4 linked regions of the Schizosaccharomyces pombe genome follow. The gene in region 2 interacts genetically with the main gene of each other region. Each region holds a gene or a part of one and is shown on either strand. Other genes may lie near its edges.

Evidence for each region.
Region 1: mutations in bcs1 (region 2) and ekc1 together harm fitness less than expected from each alone (positive genetic interaction), as found in Schizosaccharomyces pombe (one large-scale study listed by BioGRID).
Region 3: mutations in bcs1 (region 2) and ppk8 together harm fitness less than expected from each alone (positive genetic interaction), as found in Schizosaccharomyces pombe (one large-scale study listed by BioGRID).
Region 4: mutations in bcs1 (region 2) and SPOM_SPBP8B7.31 together harm fitness less than expected from each alone (positive genetic interaction), as found in Schizosaccharomyces pombe (one large-scale study listed by BioGRID).

Annotation. Positions count from the first base shown.
Region 1 is NC_003421.2:1,625,147-1,632,401, forward strand, and holds ekc1 (protein phosphatase regulatory subunit Ekc1), read right to left. Parts: upstream 4,229-7,255; 5' UTR 3,975-4,228; coding exon 1,473-3,974; intron 1,416-1,472; coding exon 1,401-1,415; 3' UTR 841-1,400; downstream 1-840. Other genes in the region: tRNA dihydrouridine synthase Dus4, read left to right, coding at 1-536; wtf element Wtf14, read left to right, coding at 5,292-5,421, 5,493-5,717, 5,767-6,018, 6,059-6,121, 6,185-6,204. UniProt on the Schizosaccharomyces pombe protein: Has a role in chromosome segregation. May provide a dynamic connection between kinetochore microtubules and kinetochore chromatin.
Region 2 is NC_003424.3:2,683,466-2,689,389, forward strand, and holds bcs1 (iron-sulfur protein assembly ATPase), read left to right. Parts: upstream 1-2,598; 5' UTR 2,599-2,940; coding exon 2,941-4,290; 3' UTR 4,291-4,356; downstream 4,357-5,924. Other genes in the region: utr4 (methionine salvage haloacid dehalogenase-like hydrolase), read left to right, coding at 4,730-4,798, 4,852-5,433.
Region 3 is NC_003424.3:747,334-753,544, reverse strand, and holds ppk8 (serine/threonine protein kinase Ppk8), read right to left. Parts: upstream 4,064-6,211; 5' UTR 3,616-4,063; coding exon 3,550-3,615; intron 3,433-3,549; coding exon 1,957-3,432; 3' UTR 1,873-1,956; coding exon of another isoform or gene 1,745-1,872; 3' UTR 1,706-1,744; downstream 1-1,705. Other genes in the region: nucleoporin Nup45, read left to right, coding at 335-389, 466-1,072, 1,116-1,202, 1,249-1,357, 1,414-1,705, 1,745-1,872; ime4 (mRNA (2'-O-methyladenosine-N(6)-)-methyltransferase), read left to right, coding at 5,143-6,211.
Region 4 is NC_003423.3:3,695,430-3,700,548, reverse strand, and holds SPOM_SPBP8B7.31 (acid phosphatase), read right to left. Parts: upstream 2,359-5,119; 5' UTR 2,217-2,358; coding exon 2,135-2,216; exon of another isoform or gene 2,077-2,134; coding exon 1,825-2,076; intron 1,756-1,824; exon of another isoform or gene 1,750-1,755; coding exon 1,630-1,749; exon of another isoform or gene 1,577-1,629; coding exon 1,512-1,576; 3' UTR 1,203-1,511; downstream 1-1,202. Other genes in the region: G1 cyclin Puc1, read left to right, coding at 1-976; DNA-binding transcription factor Thi5, read left to right, coding at 2,855-5,119.

The sequences.
Region 1 (7,255 bases), on a different chromosome or scaffold from region 2:
AAATAAGAATTGCCAAAGACTTAAATAAAACTCGGCACCTGATGCAAGTCATTGAAAAATCTGGAGCTGATATAATTACTGTTCATGGTCGCACTCGGCAAGATCGCTCTTCATTCCCTGTCAATTTGGATGCAATTCGAGAAGTTCGCCCATGTGTCCAAATTCCTGTCGTTGCAAATGGTGATGTTAAAAGTCTCCGTAAGGGTCTTGAGATTGCTAAATATACAGAAACCCAAGGCATCATGTCTGCTCGTGGTTTGTTAGAAAACCCTGCGCTTTTCGCTGGATATGAAGAAACGCCTTGGGGCTGCGTGGAGCGATTTCTTTGGTATTCTACATCCTATTCTCTAAATTTCCATTTATTCTATCACCATTTGACTACCATGATGGGGCAAATGACTACTAAGCGTGAAAGAATGACTATACCGAAAGATAGTTTTGCTAGTGTCATGGACTGGCTAGATGAGCATTTCGTTGTTCGGAGACCCGATGAACCCATGTTTGGAGAATCGGTATTGCCTTGTCGCCGCTATTAATCTCAACTCATTGTTTGTTTATTAGTTGGCATTGTAAATATGAAGTGATTTCTGTAATCAATTTATGCAGGGATCAATCGATACAATTACTTCAATTTGCCAACGTTTTATAGTTATTGTTTTTTTTAGGTGTTTTAGAAGTCTATGGTTTATCATTGTATTTTATCTGTTGTTCTTTACCAGAATTAGAATCCCCCGACCTTGTTCATTACTACTTTACATTTTTAGTCATACTCATTTGTTACACTTTTCACAATTCCCTTCCGTCTTTATCTCTTGAATATTATGAATTCTATTACACAGTACAATCAACGCTATCTACATTACTTTATTAAGAGAAATTGTACTCTTGAAACAGCTTGCGAAACTGATATCTCGATAATTAAAAAATGCGTTTTTTCAACAACGGCATTTCCTTGTTTTATCAATTGTTTGTCTTATCTCCACCATGGCATAGCAGAATTGGTATCAGTAAAAAATATTGATCAATTCATATTTCTGTCAACTGTGTTATAAACCAGATAGCATAACGGACTTAAAATGAAATTGTAGAGATAGAAATAAAATAGAATGAAGAGAAAAACCGATTAAAACGAAGAAGTGAATGCATGACAAAATATTAGTACATTTTCTTTTTAACAGTACGAAGCTAAAATAAAATAGTAGAAACCACAAGGTAAAGATGAAGAAAATGCATCTTAGAGGTTGTTAAAACTTCACGTAGTAACGCATCCTTCAAACTATACTAAATAGTAGTTTCCAGCCTCTAATGCTGTTCAGCAAAGATTTTGAACTCGAACTTCTAGATATTAGTTACAGACGTCTAATCTGCTAAGATTAAAAAATTTAAGAGGAAAATGAGAACTATTTACCATGGTTCTATATGCTGTTAGTAAAATACATATCCATACAAGGATTAGCAAACTTATAACTTACGAGAACCAGACCATCAGAGTACTCCTCTTCTGCAAAACCGCGATCATCGTCAGAACTGTCATTACCATCTTCTTCTTCACTGTCTGAAAAGTCTTCTCGATCTGAACCGTTAATAAAAAAATTAGATCGCGGATACTTGTTTTCATTTCCGCGCGAAACCCATTCAACAACTTCATCGTCGTCATCGTCGTCCTCATCAGAACTACTAAATTGATTGGCGTTGTTATCGGATATTTGCTGAGACATGTACTGAGCAAAATGATCGCGATTGTCTTGATCACTATCGTTAGCTGATTCAAAACTAAGTCGTCGCGACATCTCACGAGACAGCGGGTCTTCATCATTACCATCATCTTCGTCATTAGAAGACGAATTATGCGATAGCTCACGATGAACTTCCACGACATCGTCATCACTGCTATTGCTTTCCAATTCTTGCTCCAGCGCAAACTGCATTTCAGGTAAATTGTTGGCGTCCAACATCTCTCCTTCGTCCATGTCTTCCAAATAGCCCACCATCGAGGGTTCCAAGCCTCCTAATAATTGATTATCACGGTTCCTCGTTTCTACTAACGTCTTATTTACAAAATTTTGCCATTTTTCGTCATTGATAAGATTTAGCAATTCCTGATCAAAGGTAGAAGAATAATGTTCTACAAACTTCACAACTTCGTCAGCAATTATGGTTAGATGACCCATATATCCAGCCCGAAATCCGCTAGGTTTAGCTACCTTTTTATCATTCAATTCTTGGCCGTACACAATCTTTTCAGTGATTTTCCCTTGTTTAAACATATCGACGGCAAGTGCATAGTTTTGATCTTTGTCCATAGGAGCATTTAACACCTGCTGAACAACATCATATACAACGTTATGTAAAAAATTGTTCCAAGGATAATCAAAGAAATGATCAAGAATAGTCGGAATTACATTATTTTGAATAAATTCAATCTTTAGAAAATCGCCAATAACAGGGAGCTTTTTAGCATCCTCAATAACACTTTCCGGAAGGGGTTCGTAAGAAGTATCAGAAGCCGCATCATCGTCCCCATGGTGTAGTGCTTTAGCGGTTTCCATAACGTCCTTGTATTCTTCTTCACTAACGGGTTCAGCCTCGGACATTGGGGAATCAGTAGTAGTCAAATTAAGGTTATCCTTAGTGATTTGCGGAGCACGACCGTGCATATCTTCAGCCCCGTTCATGTCTTCAGTTTCCTTAAAATCTTTAGAATTTTTATCGGAAAAAGTAGAATCATCATCGTCCTCGTCGCTCATGACAAGATCACGTGCACAGCTATTATGGCGGAAAAGATAATCACGAAGATGGTCACGCTGCATTACCATGGCTTCACCATTAGGATCGCTAAGAAGGGACATATTACTACAATGAAGCAACTCGGCGTAAAGTTCACAAATTCGGAAACGTTCAAAACCTAAAGGCTTGATCTTACCAAAACTGGTGGGCATGAGGTCGGACTCGGTGGAAGGTTTAAGGAGGATTTTTTGAAAGACAGGAATTTTTTCGGCGAAAAGACGCAACATGGTCCCAAGGTAAATAGGATCACGGGTAGTAGGAGGATGCGTGTCAAGAGGCATTTGCAAAACGGGTGTAACATCGTAGTCACTGTTGTTCTTACGAATTAGTTCTATTACGATGCTGACGCCATTAATAAGAGAAGTGGCAGAGTGAGGAGCTTTAGAATCGGTCATGTAATCAGTTAGTGTAGTTATTGTTTGTCTGGATACTAGTTCTCGTGAAAGGGAGTTAGGTCCAATAACTCCGGGTTCATTAGAATTGGCAGAAATAGCGATAATTGCTTTTATAACATCAGCAACAGTAAACTGGACGTCGGGATCCACATATGGGCTAAGTAGACGCAGTAAGGATTGTATTAATCCCTGCGAATACAACCAGTCAGCAATTCCAATAGCAGTATTGCAACGATCCATTGAAATGAATTTGAGCAACAGATCCATGATTGCGCTTGTTTCCGCATGACGGAGGATCTTTTCTACAAAGTTATCAATAGATTGGATAAAGGCAACCGTTTCTTCGGTTTTTTTATCCAGAAAATGTTCATTGACCTTTGCAAAGTATGATGCTTGCAATGGGTTTAATGGGCCCTCGCTATCCAAAAAGGACCAAAGTTTCACCATCAATGTCTTATTTTCCACACAAGCCTCACAGATGGACCAAACGTCGCTACTGAGGATTTCACTCGCTATGTAGGAAAGTCTGGTATGTTCCGGCTCTTCATAACCACCATCGGCAGAAGGTATCTCTGTTTCGTCAACCTCCAAAATATAATCAATCAGCTGGCTAAGTACTTCCGGCTTGCAAAGGTATTCTAAAAGTTTGGGGTTGTGGCTTTTACATTCGTCCAAAACCCCATTCTCTTCTAACAACTCCTTTAAATTAATCTCATCTTCCGGTTTATCCAAAATCGCCTCAATGGCGCTTGAGCTTTGAAATCCAAATCCCTGGCCCAATCTCCAAAACATTTCTATCACTTCCTTTAAAATGTATGTAAGTCAAAGCTATGTTTATACTTCCCAAGGCTTAAACGGCGAAGCTCTTAGGTAAAGGCTTCCCCTTTTGCGTTCTTGTTTTACGGCGGTACTCTTGAGCCGTGCCCTTCACTGTATAGATAATCAATGTCTGCGGTTTTAAATATGAGTATCAAAGAGTCTCAATTTTGAAGTTTTTCCTCTATTACTACTTCCAAAACAGACAGTTGCGGTTTTAAGCTGTTGGCGAAGGGCAGATAAGTGTGAATGGTGAATCCTACGTAGTTCGTTCTTCCATATGGAGAGGTGGGGGAAAGCCAATTGTCTCTTTACTGCGGCTTTAGGAAGCGATGTAAAAACATTGGCTATTCTAGTGTAATGCGCAATCAATTATACCGTGGAAATAGCGTGTTGCAATCAAATTTAGGGATATGGTAAACGGTGGTGGGGTTGCTTGATACATATTATATTTTGATACACAGGTAATATGGGTAACAGGTAATGCTGATATTCTTATACAAAGGGGACGTTTGGCAGCTAATCACTGAAAAAGCTCAATACTTAACTGTACTAACGAATTCCAGCTAGGCTCTATCTAGAGTATGTTTATTAATCTAAAACTTTCTTTTGGAAAAATCAGCAAATCTTTTTGTGCTATGTTGTATCATAAGATAGCGGATAGATAACAGAACATGTGATATATAACGATACGGAACGTACTGTATTATTCGATATACTGAAGTTGACATTACAGTAGTTCACCAGTTTTCTGTTAGCGAAATCTATAAGTATCACGTTGTAAATCGGTAGATATCCTTAGCAGATAATTTCACAAAAGAAAAATTTTAGCTTAAAAGTTTTAAAAGAGTATTTTATTTACGGTTATAAAAGCTCCTAAATAGGAGTTAACTTAACTCTCCTATACTGCAGAAGTCAATCCATGGCAAGGACTAATCTGTATCGATAATGCATTTACTGACGATCAATTGACTGTATTATTTTTCGCATTTCCAGATATAAGATTGCTTCAAAGTGTTCGTTATAGCATATAATGTAACTTAGGAATACTGCTAGTCTTCTTAAAATGCGGATGTTAGAAGTAATCTACCTCCTAAATCAGCTTTTTGGTTCCTATTTTTGAATATTCTTTGTTTTAAGCAATTGATTCGAAATTTTTCAATTTTGTAATTCTCTGCTTAGTATAACTTTGTAAGATCTGAAATTGCGATAATTTGAAAGGACCTTGCTTGTTTGTTTACGCAGTTATATCAACCGGCGCATTTTTTGATCAACCTCTTTTTATCGCTCATTATGGAAAACAATCATCATTTGGCTAAGGATTCTTTGGATGAATTGAATCCTAAACGTGGAAAAGGCGAGCACGAAACTCAGGTCTCACAATACACTGTGGTCGAGGAAGCCACTATACCTCAGTCTTTAGGTAAGAAAAATACCCTCGTTGGGAAGAAAAAGAACTTCATATTCAAAAAGATAGCAATTTTAACGTAAAAGTGAAAACTTCCAGACCTGCTGATCATAAAGTGATGGAAGCTTCTAAGGTTGCTGATACTCGTACGGCTTGGTCGACAAAAATTCCAGCAGTACTTCTTCCTGTTTTCGTAATAAATATTGCTTTGTTTAAATATCTCGTGTTTGCAAACTTTTCAACTAAAGATCGGGTGCTATTTGGATTGGGAAATGGTGGAATTAACATATTTTCGATGTGGCTTTTACTCGGTAAGTGGACTATGTGATTACTATCAGTATGCAGCTGCTAATTCTATAGCAACATATGAAACATGGTTCAGGAGTATCAAGGAAGTTATTGTCGCTTGCGGAGCAGGTATAAGATCTTTTCCCCAAAAACGGGGAGTAAATATGCTATATGCTATTCTCAAGTTGACTTTTGTTAATGCATTTGCCATTCCCCTCCTTATGTTTTTTAGAAGTCATTTTGAGCAATGGAGACTGGGATGCCCGTTGGTGGAGCGTGTCATTGGTGTTATGCTAAACGTGGCATATTTTATAATTGAAATTGGTTCGTTCTTCAAAATTCTGATAAATGCTAACTTTACAAGAAAATCCTGGTTTATTCACTAGAGTTTTTAATAAGTACTGTGATTGCTTATTTGCTATTAGGGGTATGCTGCTAAATTCATCAATCTCGATGTTCATTTTCCAATTCGTCTCACTTACCAAACTAGATATCCTAAATAGAAACTAATGAGTTTTGAACAAATGCAATGCTGAGAATGTTATCCGTTATTTTTTGGAAAAGGTTTAATATGCTACATGTGTATTCAAACGATTCTATATTGAAAGAAGCGTTTGTATTTCGATTACTATCTGCTAATAATCTTCCTCTTTAGAATTGTCAAATTTGATAAAACTAATGAGATCATAATAGCGTGAAGCACCCTTGCTTGCGTTATTTCTTTTTAAAAATTTGTCTTAATTGCCAGTCGACACCTTTAAAACATCTTTCGTTGAGTGTTGTAGTTTTTGGACTGTAAAGGAAGACCCTTTGCGGTGATTTAATGTTTTCAAACATTTGCTAAAGGGCTGTTAAAATGTTTACGATATTCAAATGTTTATTTAAAAGAAAGTTTTCTTATTTGTTCATCTATGGGGTTGGCTCCTCATTCGTATAATACGCTGAAAGCACATTAAAGTCTCTGGATATCAGCAGTTTCATATGATTAATTTTCAAAGATCCGGTTTATGATAATCATGAAAGCAACAGAATTCTTTGTTTGTTATGGGAATGTATTTGTTGATGATTACTTTTTTTTCCCTAGTCAAATAGTTCAATAACGGTTGATATACCAATTATTAGACCAACAGACGAAGCTGAAATTCAACAATGGTTAACTCATTCCATTTCGGACCGTATAAACTCCTTTATTAGCTACTAAATTAATTTTTAATTTTGGTCAGTCAATGTGAATAGGATATTTCTTTTTAACTCATTAAGCACACAATGATTTCTTGGTTGTTTACTGAATAGTGCAAAATAAAGTCGTACCTAAAAATATGTTAGAGTTTGCTAATTGATATAAAATGTAAGCTACGCAGTTTGGTATCTGATTTAAGGATACGTAGAGCTGCGGTGAGTTTTCCTTGTGGTCTATTATATTACAATACACAGGTTGTATAAGTAGCAACTGAGTATAGGTATTGTATTAACTGGATTATAATGTTACCTATCACTAATATAGCTCATAACTGAACCTCGTTCCTCAGTTCAGTTGTAACTCTATTTATAATATTTCTAA
Region 2 (5,924 bases):
TTTATTAGACAATAAAAATATACTATAGCAACTTGAGAGCTGCAATACGTGTACGCCACAAACAATTGAGAAACAAACAGAAATTGTTTACACAGTTTCGCTGTTTTCAAAATATAACCACGGGTAAGTAATACAGTTGGCATACAACATTTGGGTAACCTACCATAATTATCAATTGAGCGCAAGAATGGCTTGGATACTGACTCAACCCCAGTCTACTGAATCGACGATGTTTGGAAAATCGAATGAAACCAGCAAAACCGATCCTTCACCTTTAACTATCGGTAATCCAAGTTTGATTATCGAGCAAAGATGTGGTTGGTGCTTGGACAGATGGATCTACTTGATTGCTTGATATTTTTCGGTGTCAGTTCGTTACGCTAAAATGACTAAGAAAAATGAACACAGCCTCGATAAACAAATATCATCAGTGCGATCCAACAGCGGTATTTGTCTGAGTTTCTGGTTTACATTCCGAGCCACATGAAAGATAGGCGTTACAGGGCTCGGGAATGCAGCCGAAGCCGTTCAAAGTTGTCAATAAAGAACGTTTGGTAGAAGTGTCCAACAGCAACGAAGTGTTGATGACTTGTTGCCAATGATGAATTTCTTCACTATTGAGTTGGACTTTGGAATGTGAGTGGTCGTACCAACAACTACGGGTATATGGCCTTATTGCAGTGTAAGATTATCTCATTGTCATACAAAGTGGGCAACTTCATACGCAAGGCGTGGGTTTCATGAACACACAAAACGAATCGAGATGATCATCGTTGGATACTCGCTTGATGCAGCTGCTAACGGAGATGCACAAAGCAATCGAACTTTACCATGACATATCCGAAACATGCTAAGATCTTGTTGATGCATTCGTTGACGTTTTTTCAAGATGTTTCGTAATTTCTATACCCCCGGGTGGAGTGGAGCTGCACTTACGAAAGGATAAGTTGAAGGCTGATTTTTCACATCCCTTCTTTGCAAAAGTTTCCAAAGATGAAAAGTGGAGATGCTATTACGCTAGCACAATATTCATCATCATCTGATCTGTTGTATAAAACTTTTTCATTTCATAACTTATGAAGTCAATAATAGTTTTTGAAAATGGGATTTCCTAATTTAGTCAATTTTGTGTTCCACGTTGCACGATGGTTAAAAACGGTAATTTACACTACTGCAACATAAGAAGGACTTGTAAGATATAGACATTAAAAAATAACCTCCCAAGGCGAGACTCGAACTCGCAACCTTCTGATGACCATCATAAGAGTCAGACGCTCTAAACCGATTGAGCCACTCGGGACTTGCTTGTATTGTGTTAAATTATGTACAATTATATAATAAAGTCTTTAAACAATGAAAGGCATTGAAGGTGTTCAGCTTGAATGAATTCTTTTTAGTATGTTCATTGATCTCGAAAGAAAAAAGAAATGAAATGAAAAACTCAAGGTTTGTAAGTATAACTTTTTTGGTTTTGAAAACGCTTGAATATGATGTTGAACATTGATAGCAGGGTAACCAGTATATGTAAATATAAATGCATCTTGAAAAACCTGTATAAGAAGTGCAAGTGGGTTAAAATACATTGATTTGAGTATATAAAGAATTTCTTAATGTTTTGGCAAATTCGAAGACTTTTCCTTTCTTAGCTTTTAACAATGACTATTTCTTTCCTCCCAAGTTCTTTGTTGATGTTTCTTTGTTCGCCAAGAGAATTTTCTTTGTCAAAATCTTTGATCTTTTAAAGAAAGTGTGCATATACATAATCACCAACTCAGTTCAAAATACAATTTGAATTTCATACTAAAGTATGCCCAATGATTTTAAAAGTCATTAGTTTTTTTCCAAAGTACGATCTCTTACGAATACCTGTAAGAAAATTAATATTATACATCAGCCTCGATTTAATTATGTTTTGGATGCAGCTTTAGTTTTTAATTATATTCATCAAGTGCAAAATTGCAAATCACTAACATACTTGCAAGCGTTTTTTCTGCCATGAAGAATCGGGATGTATATGTTCTACATCAATTACTTATCTTAGTGTGAAATGCAAATTTATATGCAGTTATTTTGTTCTGAATATTTATTATATGCTACCATCATCAATGTGATCAAGTCATTAAAAAATTTATTTACAGGCTCTAACATTTGTATCATTTCTAAAGTCCAGATCAAGCGACCTCGGAAGAAATTTTTTCTTAATTACTCAATTGCTGTCACTGGATAGGTTTGATATGATACTTTACTTTTGATCTTAGATTTCCAGACTCGCAACAATTTCTAAAAAATTGGGTAGTAAACACACACATGTAGGCTGGAAATATTAAACACTAGCAAGATGCATCCTTCCAACATTTTACATAAAATATTTCAATGTCAAAAGTTAAATATTTTGCAAAGTTACTCTCTCTATTTCAAGCAGAACCTTTCAAGCTGGTATTAAAAGTTTAAAACAAACATTAACAATGTGAAAAACAGTTTCATGTAATTAGCTTTATACTATTCTTTAGTTCTAACATATCTATTTCGCTCCTATCGGAAGTCATAGACTTTTGGAATTTCTTAGCAAAGCACTAAATTGTTGGCTACATGAACCTCACCCAGAACCTCGTTCATACCAAAAACTCCTCCATTTTTTCTCAACATTCCAATAAAATTGGATTATATAATTTCTTCATTGAACATTTTATTTCTTTTTTGTTTGAAACCTATCAATTACTGGTCATTTTGACATATGCGTTTTGACATTTGATTTACTACAATATTTTGTTATACATGTCCTCCGTAAAGAATTGATTATATTCATAAAGGTTTAATTGTTTCTATGAATTATTTATACCAAAAATTTCCTTTATATGCAAGAAACCGCTATCGTTACGTTGAAGAATTAAATTAATATTAACTTTCCTCCCTTCTTCTCATCGTCTTTCCACTTTAAAAATGGATAATATAGGTGCTGCCGATGCAGCGACGTCTTCTGGCATTTCTGGGTTACTAAGTGGAAATTCATTTTTAGGTGCTGGTATTGGTTTAATGGGTTTCGGTGCTGGGCTAGCCATATTACGTCGTGGGCTTATTTCAGGAGCAAGCTTAGTAAAAAGAAGGATGCTAGTGTCTGTCGAAATTCCAAGCAAAGAAAAAAGTTATAATGCCTTTTTGCATTGGATGAGCACGGTGCCTAAACGCTATTCAAATCAGCTGGCTGTTGAAAGCAACAGACAACTCAAAATGCCGCAAAATGCTAGGGAAAAACCTGACAAGCAAGTTGCAAATCGTATATTCAGCCTCGTTCCAGGTCCTGGAAAGCATTACATAAAGTACAAAAAGTGTTGGATTCAAGTAGAACGAGAGCGTAGCAATCGTCTGCAAGATTTAACAACTGGAACACCTTGGGAGACAATTACTCTTACCACTCTTTCAAGAGATCGTGGAATTTTTTCCGAACTTTTATTAGAAGCTCAAAAATTCATGCAAAGTGCTCAAAAAAACAAGACTACTATATACACGGCTTGGGCCACTGAATGGAAGCCTTTCGGGCACCCTAGATCAAAAAGGATGCTTTCTAGTGTTGTACTTGAAAGCAATGTTAAAAAAATGATTACAGACGACGTTCATGACTTTTTACGAAATTCACAATGGTATGATACAAGAGGAATTCCATATAGAAGAGGCTATCTTCTTTATGGACCTCCTGGAAGTGGAAAAACCTCATTTTTATATGCTCTTGCAGGTGAATTGGACTACGACATATGCGTTCTAAACTTGGCTGAAAAAGGCTTAACTGACGATCGTCTCAACCATCTACTTTCTAATGTACCTCCCAAGGCAGTAGTTTTACTGGAGGATGTTGATTCTGCATTTCAAGGTAGGGAACGATCTGGGGAAGTTGGGTTTCATGCCAATGTTACATTTAGTGGGTTGTTAAATGCACTCGACGGTGTCACTTCATCAGACGAAAGGATTATATTTATGACAACTAATCATCCTGAAAAGCTTGATCCAGCTCTCGTTCGTCCGGGCCGCGTTGACGTTAAAGCATATCTTGGAAATGCTACACCTGAACAAGTTCGCGAAATGTTTACTCGCTTTTACGGTCACTCCCCAGAGATGGCTGACGATTTAAGTGATATAGTGTGTCCAAAAAATACAAGTATGGCTTCATTGCAGGGTCTTTTTGTAATGAATAAGAGCTCACCTGCTGATGCTGTTGATATGGCTAAAGAGCTTCCTGATAATCCTCCTAGTACACCTTTCTCCTTTAACGTACACAGAAAGTCTTTGTCTGTATGAAATCCCTTAGATTTATTTAACTTAAAATGTTATTCGTTTCGTAATAAGCTCTACTTATCAATCTTGACCACAAAAAAAAGACATCTTGGTAGAAACATATATTGTACGCGATTAATCTATGAATAATTAATGAATTTAAAAAATGGTTAAAAAATAACTAGTCCGTATTTTCTATTCTAAAAGACAGGCATGCATAAGATAATTATTCAAATGCATGTTCTCAATAAAAAGCTGCAAGCTGTTGAAATTCTTTTTCCATATGTTTAAGAAAGTAAAATCCAATAAAATTCCAATTGTAATCTTAAATTATTTTACGTGATGCATAGCTGAATTCGCAAAGTACTAATCCTACTTACTGCACATCTTACTTCTTTAAAGTTGCATAAAACTTGTGTCCTAAAAGAAAAGTGAGTTGTACGGCATCTCTTTATTACAAAAAATGGTTAAAAATTTGCTCTTGGATATTGAAGGGACTGTGGGTAGCATTTCATTTGTCAAAGACAAATTGGTAAGTGAAGTTTTTTATTGAGAACAATGTAGATCGTGTTTAACCCATGCTAGTTTCCATACGCTGCTTCAAGATACGAAAGTTATGTTAATGAAAATTATGAAAGTGATGAAAACTTGCGAGAACTTGGAAAAACGCCTGAAGAGGCCTTGATAAATTTACGAAAGTTGCATGCTGAAGGAAGCAAAGAACGTTCCTTCAAAATGGTCCAAGGTCGTATTTGGAAAAAAGGTTATGAAAGTAATGAACTAACTTCACACTTGTTCCCCGATGTTGTTCCTGCTATTCAACGTAGTTTGCAATTGGGAATGCGTGTTTACATTTACTCCAGTGGGAGTGTTCCAGCTCAGAAATTGTATTTCGAGCATTCAGATGCTGGAAACCTTCTAAAGTATTTCTCTGGATATTACGATACTACTATAGGGCTTAAAACTGAGTGTGGCAGTTATGTGAAAATTGTGGGAAACTCAAATCCTAGAGAATGGCTCTTCTTGAGTGACAATATCAACGAGTTGAAAGCTGCAAGAAAAGTCGGGTTGCACACCGGTTTGGTGGTTCGTCCTGGCAATGATCCTGTTGTAGACACCAGTGGATTCCCCGTGTACAATAGTTTTGAAATTTTGTTCACGGAATAAAGCAATGGTGAACCCTAACGACCGTTTCGCTTAGAACAAAGTAATGAGTTTCTTTAAAGGACATGAGTTCTTTAAAAGAATTTTGATTCTCTTGTGCTCTCATTTTCTATTTCTTTGTGTTTTTTTTTTCATGATTTCTTTGAATACATCCGAAAATTAGTCAACGCAATTTCTTCTCTTAAAATATATTGAATTATTATAATTTTTTTAACCCAATGGATTTTTGAATTGTTTCAGAAACCTTTTTTAACTATGAAACTTTTTTACCATGATTGAATATTTGTATCAATTATCTAAACATTGAGTAAAACACTCTTGTAAACTCTCCATTCGTTCAATCAACTATTTGAACTGAATTTTTTTTTTTTTTTTGATAAAATAGAAAAAGAGCGTTCTTGTTTAATATTTTCCTCTCCTGTGTACTCATTGTAAAGAAGAGAGGTTTGTCAATCAACATGGGTTACAATTCGTCGGTTTTGTAGCCAAATTAA
Region 3 (6,211 bases), 1.9 Mb from region 2:
ACTTCATTTACCTGGGTAAAAATATTTTGCGCTAAAACGGGTTGAAACAGACCAACACTCGTGAAAGCCAACTTAGTGAGCCACATTGTAGTTAACACTAACAATTGAATTTGCTCTGCGAACACAGCAGTATTTGACTATACGATACCCTGAAAGCTAGTTCAATTTGAAACTTTAGATAACTAATCTTTTCCATCTTTGCTTAATTATAATATTAATCATTGATTGTGATTCTACAATTACCCTTTTTAGAAAAGATAACCTGAGTGGTTTTTCATGATAATCTTTGCATGGTATTTACACTAGGGACATTCGTGTATTAATACTTTAAGCAATGTTCGGGTTAAATAAAACACCCTCATTTGGGTCCACAGGAACCCAAAACCAAAGTATGTTTCTTTAGGTGAACAAGTCTTCAAGTTTACTTTTCGAATTTTGTGCTTATTCATATATTAACCTTTTCAGATACTGGTACTTCTGCAGGCACAGGACTTTTTTCTTCTAATACTTTTGGTAACAATACGCAGGCCAATACGCCCGCTTCGACTGGGTTTGGAGGCGTAACAGGAGGAGCTTTTGGTCAAACAAAACCTCAAACTGGTGGAAGCTTGTTTGGAAATAAGCCAAACGCTACATCTACTACCCCCGGCCTAAATTTGTTTGGACAAAACCCTCAAGCGGCACCTGGTGGCAGCCTGTTTGGAGCTTCCACTACTAAACCTCAAGCACCTGGTGGTTTGTTCAATCAGAATCAAACACAAGCACAACCTGCTCAAGCAGCCCCTACTGGAGGATTATTTGGATTATCTGGTCAAAATCAAACACAATCGCAAACACAGCCTGCTCAAGCAAATACTTCTCTTTTCGGACAGTCTAACATCGGAACTACAGGAGGTCTATTTGATCAAAACCGCCCTAATACTTCGACTTTTGGTCAATTTTCTACACAACCAGCTTCCGCTGGCCTTTTTGGTCAATCCACACAACCGTCTGGTTCAACTGGTTTTGGTTTAAGCAATAATACTCAAACTACTCCATTCTTTTCTGCAGCTCAGCAGCAACCGTCAACAACGTAAGTTAATTATTAAATTTTTTTTTCATTAACAAAAAAACAGGCAACTCCCTTCTAATCCAGCTATTAATGCAACGACGAGATACTCGAGCTTAAACGCTAATACTCAAAAATTTTTAGATGACTTAGAGTATGTGTTACCTTATGTACAAAATTTGTTCTAATCATGTCCGTAGCAAAGAAATTTTTAGCCAAATCCAACTTGCAGAGGAACTACAAACTAAGTTGGGGACTGTTTCCGAATTGGTTGAATCCGTCCCTAATGATGTCGCTGAAGTACAGAGAGTGAGTTATTTCCTTCTATTATCTCCAAGTTTTATTTGTTTCTAACTAAAATAAAGCGTTTATCTTCTGTCTCGACTGCACTTTTAATTGATTCCGACGAAATTGAAACTACGAAGCGTGTAGTTGACGAAGATACTTCGAATGCTCGCATTAGTTCACGTATTTTGGACGTTTTTAAAACACCTGGCGCAACCTATCCCTTCGCGTCAAACGATCCCCTAATGAACTACTTTGAGCAATTTACAGAAAACGCTAAGAAACGTACAGATCTGTATGCTGCCACTATTGGTGAACTTGAACAACATTTGGAGCAAGTTGAGACTACGCCACAGAATAATAGTCCCGAGGGTATGCCTTTAATTTGTAAAACTTGTATTAACTATCTAGCATTACTGAAAACTATCAAAGAGGAGCACAAATTATTCATGGCTCTTAGTAATAGATTTGCTCAAGTTCACGATGAAGTAAAGCGTCTACAAGTGAACACTTCAACGTCCTTGCCCTTTATAAGTTAATAGCGATCATTAAAGGGACTTCATAATCCTTAACATCATAAAAAAAATAAATAGATAAAAATCTCTAAAGTAGACAAATTCTCCTTAGATTAGAGTTTTCCGAACTTGTTGCATCCATGTAGTGCTTCGTGCTCCCGAAATGCTACATCTTGTATTAAAATCAATGTCCAGCATATGATAAATCGTATCTCTTGAGTTCATCGGTAAAGATTCTATCAATTGGCTTTTCGTGTTAGGGTCATTTCGTTGAGTAACGTATAAATTAAAACGTTTATCCGATGTATGCGGCACTTTCCATGGAAATCTCTTTAAAGCAATACAACAGTAAACAATTGCACAAGACCAAACATCTACAGCGCTCGGATCATATGGTTTCTGAGTAAGAACTTCGGGAGCAACATATGGTTTTGAACCGACTACACCATCAGACATCAGAGTGGTTGATTCAAATGGATAATGAAAAACAAAAGCAGTACCAAAATCAATAATCTTAACATTTAAATTTTCATCGAGCATAATATTATCTAATTTTATATCACGATGAGCAATGCCAAGGGAATGCATATAAGCCACGCCATCTAACAATTGAAAAAACATTTGATCAGCTTTTAAAGCAGAGCAATGACCTTTGGTAATAAAGGTAAAAAGATCATAAGGAACATACTCAATTATTTGTAAAATAGTATGCCTTTTGTATATAATGTCTAATACCTTGATGATATTGGGATGCCTGAGTGTCGACGCAAAAGTGTACTCTGCAATGAAATAACGTACATACCTGCGCAGTAATGAGGTATCTAATGGAGGACGAAATACTTTGGCAACGTAAATTGGCAATTTGTTTCGATCATTAATGACCCGAATGAAAGAGCTCGCTCCCTCCCCAATGACATTATTTAACTTTCCATAAGGTGTATCAGTTACGGAACATTCCGGGTTTACAACTCTCTTTCTTGATCTCGGGTTGATTCTCTTAAAGATGCTAGCATTGCTACCAGTTACTTTGTGTTTCAGCAATTTTCGAAGATCAGAAGTATGATTGTAGCAAGCAATAGGCGCCAGAGCGAAGCCGGAGTTCCGTTTTTTTATAAAATTGTCGTTTCCGTTCGGAAGGATATTAATTCTGATCTTCATCTTATCATACATGCTACTATAAAATGATTTAGACTTCTTTTTAAAGTGAAACTGAGGTGGGATATCGTTTGGATCAGAAGATGGATTTTTTCGATAAAGTCTGCTATATGGATTACCACCATTTATGCCATCATTAAGGGTAGCAAATTTCGATTCTGTGGAAGATGACTCTTCCGACATAGATGTTAAAGTGCTTGATAGTGATGAGTGAGTAGTCGATAATTCCTGTAAGCTATGAGCATGATCGAGAAGGTAATCAGATTTATCGCTCTCTTCACTCTCAATGGAGTTGGTAAATGAAATCACAAAGTTTTCGGGTAAAGTTGTAGATGCCGTTAATAATAAGCTACTTCGAGAATATTTAATGTAGGGGTATGAACGGACGGGCTTTAAGTAATTCGAAATAACTTGATCATCCTGTTTATTCTAATATCATTAGTTAGCGTACACCATATTTGAATATTTAGAAAAATAAGGATTTTTTTCTATTCTTTTTTTTAAAGAAAAAAAGATAACTAAAAAAATTAAAGGCAGAAAACATACCGAGGTTAATTCCAATGAATCTGTGCAAAATAAATTATTAGAGTTCTCTTCCGTGATCACAGCCATTGCTCTAAGAATTGTGATTGTAAAAGCTTCTTTCCAAAAAAAAAGTAAAAAAGATATATTAATGAATTAAGTGATAATTAAGGAGAATAAATAAAACGAATCCAGAAATTAAGTGAAACCGATTATAATGACGGGAAAGAAAATCAAACAAATACCGCTTCCCTGATAATGACTGACAAGAAATAAAATAAACACCGCAAATAAGTAAACAACCAAAAAAATTGTAATCGCGCAATGTCTATGCAATACAAGCAAAATAAAAAAATGTTTAACTAAAACGAAGCGAAACGATTATGCATCCCAATGTCGATCCTGATCGCAAAAAAAATTGGTAACGACAATTCCCAATTTAGTAATGTTTATATAGCAAATCTCACGAGCCGAATAGGTTCATCTAATAAATGTCCGAGGAGATAAACCGGAGTTGGTTCGATGAGGAAATTAATGTGAATAAAATATGGTTCCACGTTTCGATATATATTAACGTCGAAAGCAAATACCGTAGAATGCCGGACTGCGTTGTTTTTTTTAAAAATTCATAAACTCCAATGCCAAAATGTTCTATAGAATCGGCAAACTAAAATTTAAGATCGAATTGAACATAAAAACGAAGCGTATTTATATACTGATTGCAGGTCCTTTGCTTGAATCCTATCAATAAATTGTATGATGCTATCTCGTCAAAAAAGTAATGGCTTTATAATAGTGTGGTTATCATTTTGTGAAAACATTACGCCATTAACTGCTTATTTATTTACGCTCCGATTTTTGCAGATTCCTATCCTAACGATCTTTATGATGCTTGTTATTAAATATATTTAGTCATCACCAGCAATTGCTTACTTGATAGTGGAGACGTTAAGGCGAGATAAGGTAGGTGTGTATTTGTAAGACTAAGCATATCGTTTTCCTTATGTAATTAATATTTCGTACTGGCAGCATATAAATTTGTTACCATTTTGAAGGCTGACTAACCACAAAACATTGGTTTTTGCAAGCTATGAATGCTTTGATTACCTAATTCGTTCAATAGAAAAATTTGTACTTCTTAATAGCTTGGATTTTTTATATCGTTCAATGTTATTGTGGGGAGTATCGAAAATCGCACACCAATGTTTCCGTATTAGTTTGAAAGAACTACGTTAACTAGATTCGGTTTTCGTAAATTAGTTTTAAAAAATATCATTAAATGGAAGTTTTTAAAATATCAATAGAGATTTGTTGTTTCAATATTTGGTATTAAGCATAATAAGTTTAACTGCACTCCAGTTGATGGGTACGACGAAACCTATCGAGTAACTTTCGATAAAGTATACACGTTTGTCACGCGTCGAGAGCGGTATTTTCAATTATTCTTATCCGACTGAATTTAATTAACTCAACTCGCTACTTCTTATTTTGAGTTGAGCGCACATAAGCTATTTTTTGAGCTACTAATTTAATAGATTGCTATAACGAAATTCAGCGGTGTCCTTGTGCATTTCATTTATCACGATTGTTTGAGGTTCGGTATTCGTGTAATTTTTAATGCCATGTATATTATACATGGACGACACTAGTTGTCTCATTGACTTGCCAACATCTCTGCAATTTAATAAACATATTTTGCCCACTCGAACGAAGCCTGTCGTGAAGCCATATTTACTCCCCGAAAAATCAACTTCGGATTATGAAAACAGTGGCAAAGGCACTGTAGGGCAAGTACTGCAAAGCCTTCAGCGAGTTCGTCGTGCTTTACAGTTGCGCAGTTTGGATGACAATCAATCAACCGATAAATCACACCATGTTCAATTTCAAGATATCGTATACAGGTCAAATACTAGTGCATCAGAAATCCATTTTCAAGCTGAAAATGCTCCTTTAGTGCAATGGTACTCAGACATTTTCAAAGTACTAGTTAAAGCACCGGTTATACAGTTTGAGGATCAGTGCTTGCAATGGTTGAAAATGTTGAATACTATTCCACCGTCATATTCATTTATAACTATAAAGTCTAAAGATACAGTTGAACTTGGATTGGAAGAGATTTATCAACAATGTGTCCAAAATGATGGAGCGTCCGCTATAAAATTAAAGCTGAAGGGATCAAAGGTTATTACTGAATCGTCTGAAACTAATTGTAGGGATTCAATTTACTACATCCCTGCTCGTTCCTCTTTTATTATGGGTGACGTGGAGAAAACTGCGCAAATCCTTTTAGAAGCAATTGATGGCCATCTAGAAAAACCCAAATGCATAATTATAGACCCTCCATGGCCGAATAAATCTGTAGCTAGGAGCTCTGTCTATAAGGTGAACAGGAACCTTGGATATTTAAAAGCATTACCAATTCAGGAATCGTTAAGCAAAACCGGCGTCGTGGCAGTTTGGTGCACAAATAAGGAAAAGTATGTAAATTTTGTTAAAAAAGTGCTTTTTAAAAAATGGAATTTAACGCTTGTCTCTACATGGACATGGCTTAAAATAACGGCATTTGGCGAACCATTATTTGATGTTTATTCAAACATGCGCAAACCTTGGGAACAGCTTTTGATTGGAGTTACTTCAGAATATACATCTGTATATAGTGATAAAATCCCTCCAACGTTTACAATAA
Region 4 (5,119 bases), on a different chromosome or scaffold from region 2:
GGGCCCTTGCTCTTTAGCTGTTTCACCAAAAGGCGTTAATTCCAAATCTCCCTCTCTTAAAAATGAGACTGCATTTGTTGTCGACTCTGTTAGCACATTGTCAGCGGAATCTAGCGCCTTACTTTATAACACTCAATCCTCTTTACTCACTGGTTTATCAATGAACGGGTATTTAGGTGAGTACCAGGAAGACATTATCCATCATCTGATTACTAGAGAGAAAAATTTTTTGCTGAATGTCCATCTTTCTAATCAGCAACCGGAACTCAGATGGTCAATGCGACCTGCACTCGTTAATTTTATTGTAGAAATACATAATGGATTCGACTTGTCTATTGATACTCTTCCGCTTAGTATTTCCCTCATGGATTCATATGTCTCGAGGAGAGTGGTATACTGCAAACACATTCAGTTAGTAGCATGTGTTTGTCTTTGGATTGCCAGTAAATTTCATGAAACAGAAGACCGTGTTCCATTATTGCAAGAACTGAAGTTAGCTTGTAAAAACATCTATGCTGAGGATTTATTTATTCGTATGGAACGCCACATACTTGATACTCTTGATTGGGATATCTCAATCCCTACACCAGCTTCGTATATTCCTGTTTTAGACCCGATTTTTTTCTTAGTACTTGATGCATCAATGTTTGTACCTAATTTATTCAAATTTCCCGCTTCCAAAATCGCATGTTCAGTTATGAACATCGTAAACGAACATGTCGGATCGTTTCTTTTGACACACCCTTCTATGGAATCCTATCGCAAAGATGATAACTTTTTGTGGCCTGAAGACTTGGATACCGTAACATCATATATGGAAAACATGTCAAAGAGGTATGCTAATGAGGAATGTACTGATTTACTGTTTTCCTCACTAGGCCGTATTTCTAGTATTTTAGCAAAGAAATATCCGGAACAATGCGCAATGGCTGCCTGGTGCAACATGACTGAAAAGGATACTGAGCGTACTTTGTAACTTTAACATTGCTTCTTCTTCGATTTATATATATTGCAATGCTTCTAGACAAACATGTAATGGAGATATAATTTCAAAATTATATATTTACTTGAGAAAAGTAAGTGTATAGTGATGTAATTTTTTTTAAGAATTTTTATAAAATTCATTATATTAATCAATTAAACTACTCTGTTATGTTCTTTGTTTTCCTAAACCGGTTTGCAACTATGCTCATATGACATTATACCGTTTGTATATATTTTTGTTATTTATTTATATGATACTTACTTAGTTTGCAAAAAGAAAAGAGAAAGTTCATAAGAAACCCCATATTACAGATTGAAGCAATTTAGGTCTTTAATAGATTTAATTTCTAAATTTGATTCTTCACCCATTAAAAGTAGTATCAGTGTTTCCCAATTTTAACAATGATACTGTGATTAAACAAAATACATCTCAATTCGAATAGAGACTTCTAAATATAAGTTAAAGCACGATAGTTGTTTTCTTAAGATGCAAGCAAAATTGATTAACTTTTCTTTCAAAAGAAAAATTAACCATGCATATGATTTTTTAGAAATGAAAGAATATTTAGTGAGTTTTTTTTAATTTTCTCCACTTGTTTATACCTTGCTCAAAGGACGCACGATTAAGGCCATCAGGAACTAAACAGAATGTAACACCAAGTCTTTCAACCTCTCTGTTCCTAGACTCATCATCAAAAAACACCATTTCTCGATAGTCAATTCCAGATTCGTTGTGGATCTCTTTGAAGTGATCCATTTTACTACCTATTTCACAATAACTAGTTAGCAATATGATTATTGATATTTTCTGTATTGACAAAAATGTATTAAAAGACATACCTGGCCAAGCTTTTACATAAGTGAAAAATTCGATAGCCGGCTTAAGACTTCCATCTATTGGTACCTTCATCAAATTCAATGCTTGTTTCGCATACTTGGGAGCACAAGTACGGCTAGCAACGCACAAAGTAACTTTTTGGTTCCTTAGCTCTTGTAAAATTCCAGTTATATCTGAGTAAAAACAAATCTCTGTGCCATATTTGTCAATCAAAACGCCTGGGTCATTTTTGGAAGGCTTAAATGGTGCAGTGACTGTGAAACTTTGTTAGAAAATAAAACATAAAGTAGATCAAAGTAAAAGATTTAATACCATGGGTATCTATCCAAAGAGGCCACAGAGTGTAGTCTAAGTCAAAAACAACGCATTTTGGGAATTCGATATTTTTTACCATATTTGCTTGATATTTTATGGTATTGGTTATTAGGTTCGTAAACAACAAGAATGAAAGTCTTTTTAAGAGTGATTTCAAGTTCAAAAGATTGACCGTAACGCTTTCAAGAAGTTTACTGCCAGTTTGCTAGTTCGATAAGATTGACACAATTTTAGTTGGTACGTTGATGTAATCCAATTTTTTTTAAAGAAAAATATATATATTCAACTTTTTTTGCATTAGTAATGAAAAAAACTTAGGAAACAAATGTTTGAATTTCATTAACTTTTATGAATTATTATTATTTAATTTAACTGTCTTTGATATTCTCAATAAACAAATAAACTGATACCAAAAAACACTGTGTAAATACCATGTTTTATAAAATTGATCAAAACTGTATACTACCAAATTACAGTCAATTAATCGTTGTCATTAACATATTCATTTAAACAATAAATTTTTTTACTGCATTTAATACATTTATATTAACCTGGGGACTTGACAGAGCTTACTAGCAAATTTAATTTTGCTGATGCATACTATTTAAAATTGAAGTAGCATTGCTACTTACCACCTTCGGGTACCTGTGACCGACAGCGAAATTGATTTACCTATATGAAAATCTTAAATGTAGCAATTGTTATTATGCGAAGTTTATGTGTCCCTCTGACTTTTCTAGTCGTTCTTTGTTTTTAGAAGCCAAAGAGGAAGAGTATAAACAAAGAAGGCGTGTTCCTTTGGACAGTAGAAGAAGAGTAAGGCGGGCATGTCTGTCTTGTCGGGCCAAGAAAATTCGATGCAGTGGTTCTGAACCATGTCAGGCTTGCATTGCTACGCCTTCGCAATGTAAGTATGCTGATTCTTTAAAAGAGCGTACTCCCTCAAAACAATTTATTGCGGAACTGAGTCAAAGGCAGAAATGCTTCGAATATCTGATGGAATTGCTGTGTCCTTCTCTTCCTCATGACACACGTAGTTTAGTCAAACTATGCAAACATGTCGAATCTTCATTAGCTTCTGGAAGCGACGTTCGTTCTTTGCTAATACCCGGGTCAATTGATCAATCTGTTTTAAAGGTTGCTGCTACAAACAATAAAGACGATTCGTCTGCTGTCAAGTCAGCAAACGTTTCTTTTCCTTCTTCATCTACTCCCCCCTCTTCGGATTCAAATTTCTCATCTATTCAAAACACTGATCTTAATACTTCCATCAAGTTTACTGAAAATATATCTGCTAATGCAATTCATGTGAACCAAGATAAGGTTATTAGAAGTGCCAATAATTTAATAATCAATTCCCAACCCATACTTCCTGTACGTTCATTCTTAGATGCTCTAGGAGAACCCATATATTTAAGTCCGACGTCAAGCACTTATTTTTTAAATTCTGTTTTAGCATCCTTACAGTTAAATTCAAGCAATACCCCAGAATCACTGCTCATTGACTATCAAAGTAAAATTCCGGAGGATCTCTCTTCCTCTTTATTGCCTTTAGAACTAAACACACTTCAATCGACCCCTACTTCAGTATCTGTAGGTTCAGCTTCTTCACAAGGAACTCATGAATATTCAATTATAAATTTGACCTCCAATCACTCATCTTTTTCATTAAAAGCTCTAAAGAAAATAGCACATAATTTGTTACCACCGGTTTCTGTCGCAGAACGTTATGCAAATGAGTTTTTCCTCCGGTATCAAAGTTTTTTTTACTTTTATCCTCCATCTGTTTTTTCTAACCGTTACCAAATCCTTGCAGATGGTTTAGTTAACTCAGATACGTTGGATACAGGATTTCTTGCTGTTGCTCTTTTAATTGTTGTGCTTGGTCACTTCTCAAATAACAACATTAATGTATTGCCCAAGGAAGTTCAGCTTAGTCATATTGATTCAATGATACAGATTTCAGAGCAATTAATTAGCTCTTTATTAAATCGCTGTACCCTTTCTTCTATTCAAGCTGTCTTTTTACTTTCACTATATCATTTTTTAACTGGAAATTTTAAATGTGCATATTCTTATTTAGGTTTTGCAATACATTCCGCGCATACCCTTGGTTTGGAGCATGGTTCAACTGATAACAGCACATTAAATGAAGTTTCAACTGAGGAGACTAGTATTCGCATATGCTGGTCCTTACGTGTTTTAGCCAGTTTTTTGTACATACAGTCTGGAATTACTCCTATCATAAATTTATTTCCAAATGGTCTGAATTCTTTAAAACTTCCTACCGTTGTCCCGGAGCTGGAGGCTCGACATTTACCTTCATCCGTTTTTCATTTTGTCGCTATAATAAAATACGCTGAGATCTCCGTACGGTCTCTAAATTCACTGTATGAATCAAGTTCTGATTATTTGATGGATGTCTCAAATTTTCCTAAATTACTATTAAAAGTTGAAAGAATCTACTCCCAAGCTCGTAATTGGAAGTTAAACTTAACCCATCAACAGCTTAATGGAACGAATGACACTTCAGATCTCCTTTTTCATTCCAACGTTAGCTTACATTTATTTTATCACTACCTAATTGTCAAGGTAAGTTGTCCCATTATGTTTTTCTATTTAAATAATTGGTATTCTGTTAAACCTTCTTCATTTACGAAAGGCCTTAACAATAAACCAAGCTTGGAAGATGTGTTTTCCAATTTGGAAACCTGCTATGAGTCTGCAAAGGCAATTGTTCAGTTATCATCGAAATTGTTATCTGCTGGTCAGATGGACAAGTGTTTTTATTTGGAGTTTGAAATTTTATACTGTTCGGCAATTGTGTTATTTTTATTCTCAGTTATGCACCTTGGTGCAGAAAACCCATTACTTGAAAGTATTTATTTACTGGAAGATATGGGATCACGTACTATCGATTCAAAGGTTCGACTTGAAAAGCTTAAGAGTGCAATCGAAATATTTGATATAAACTCAGCTACT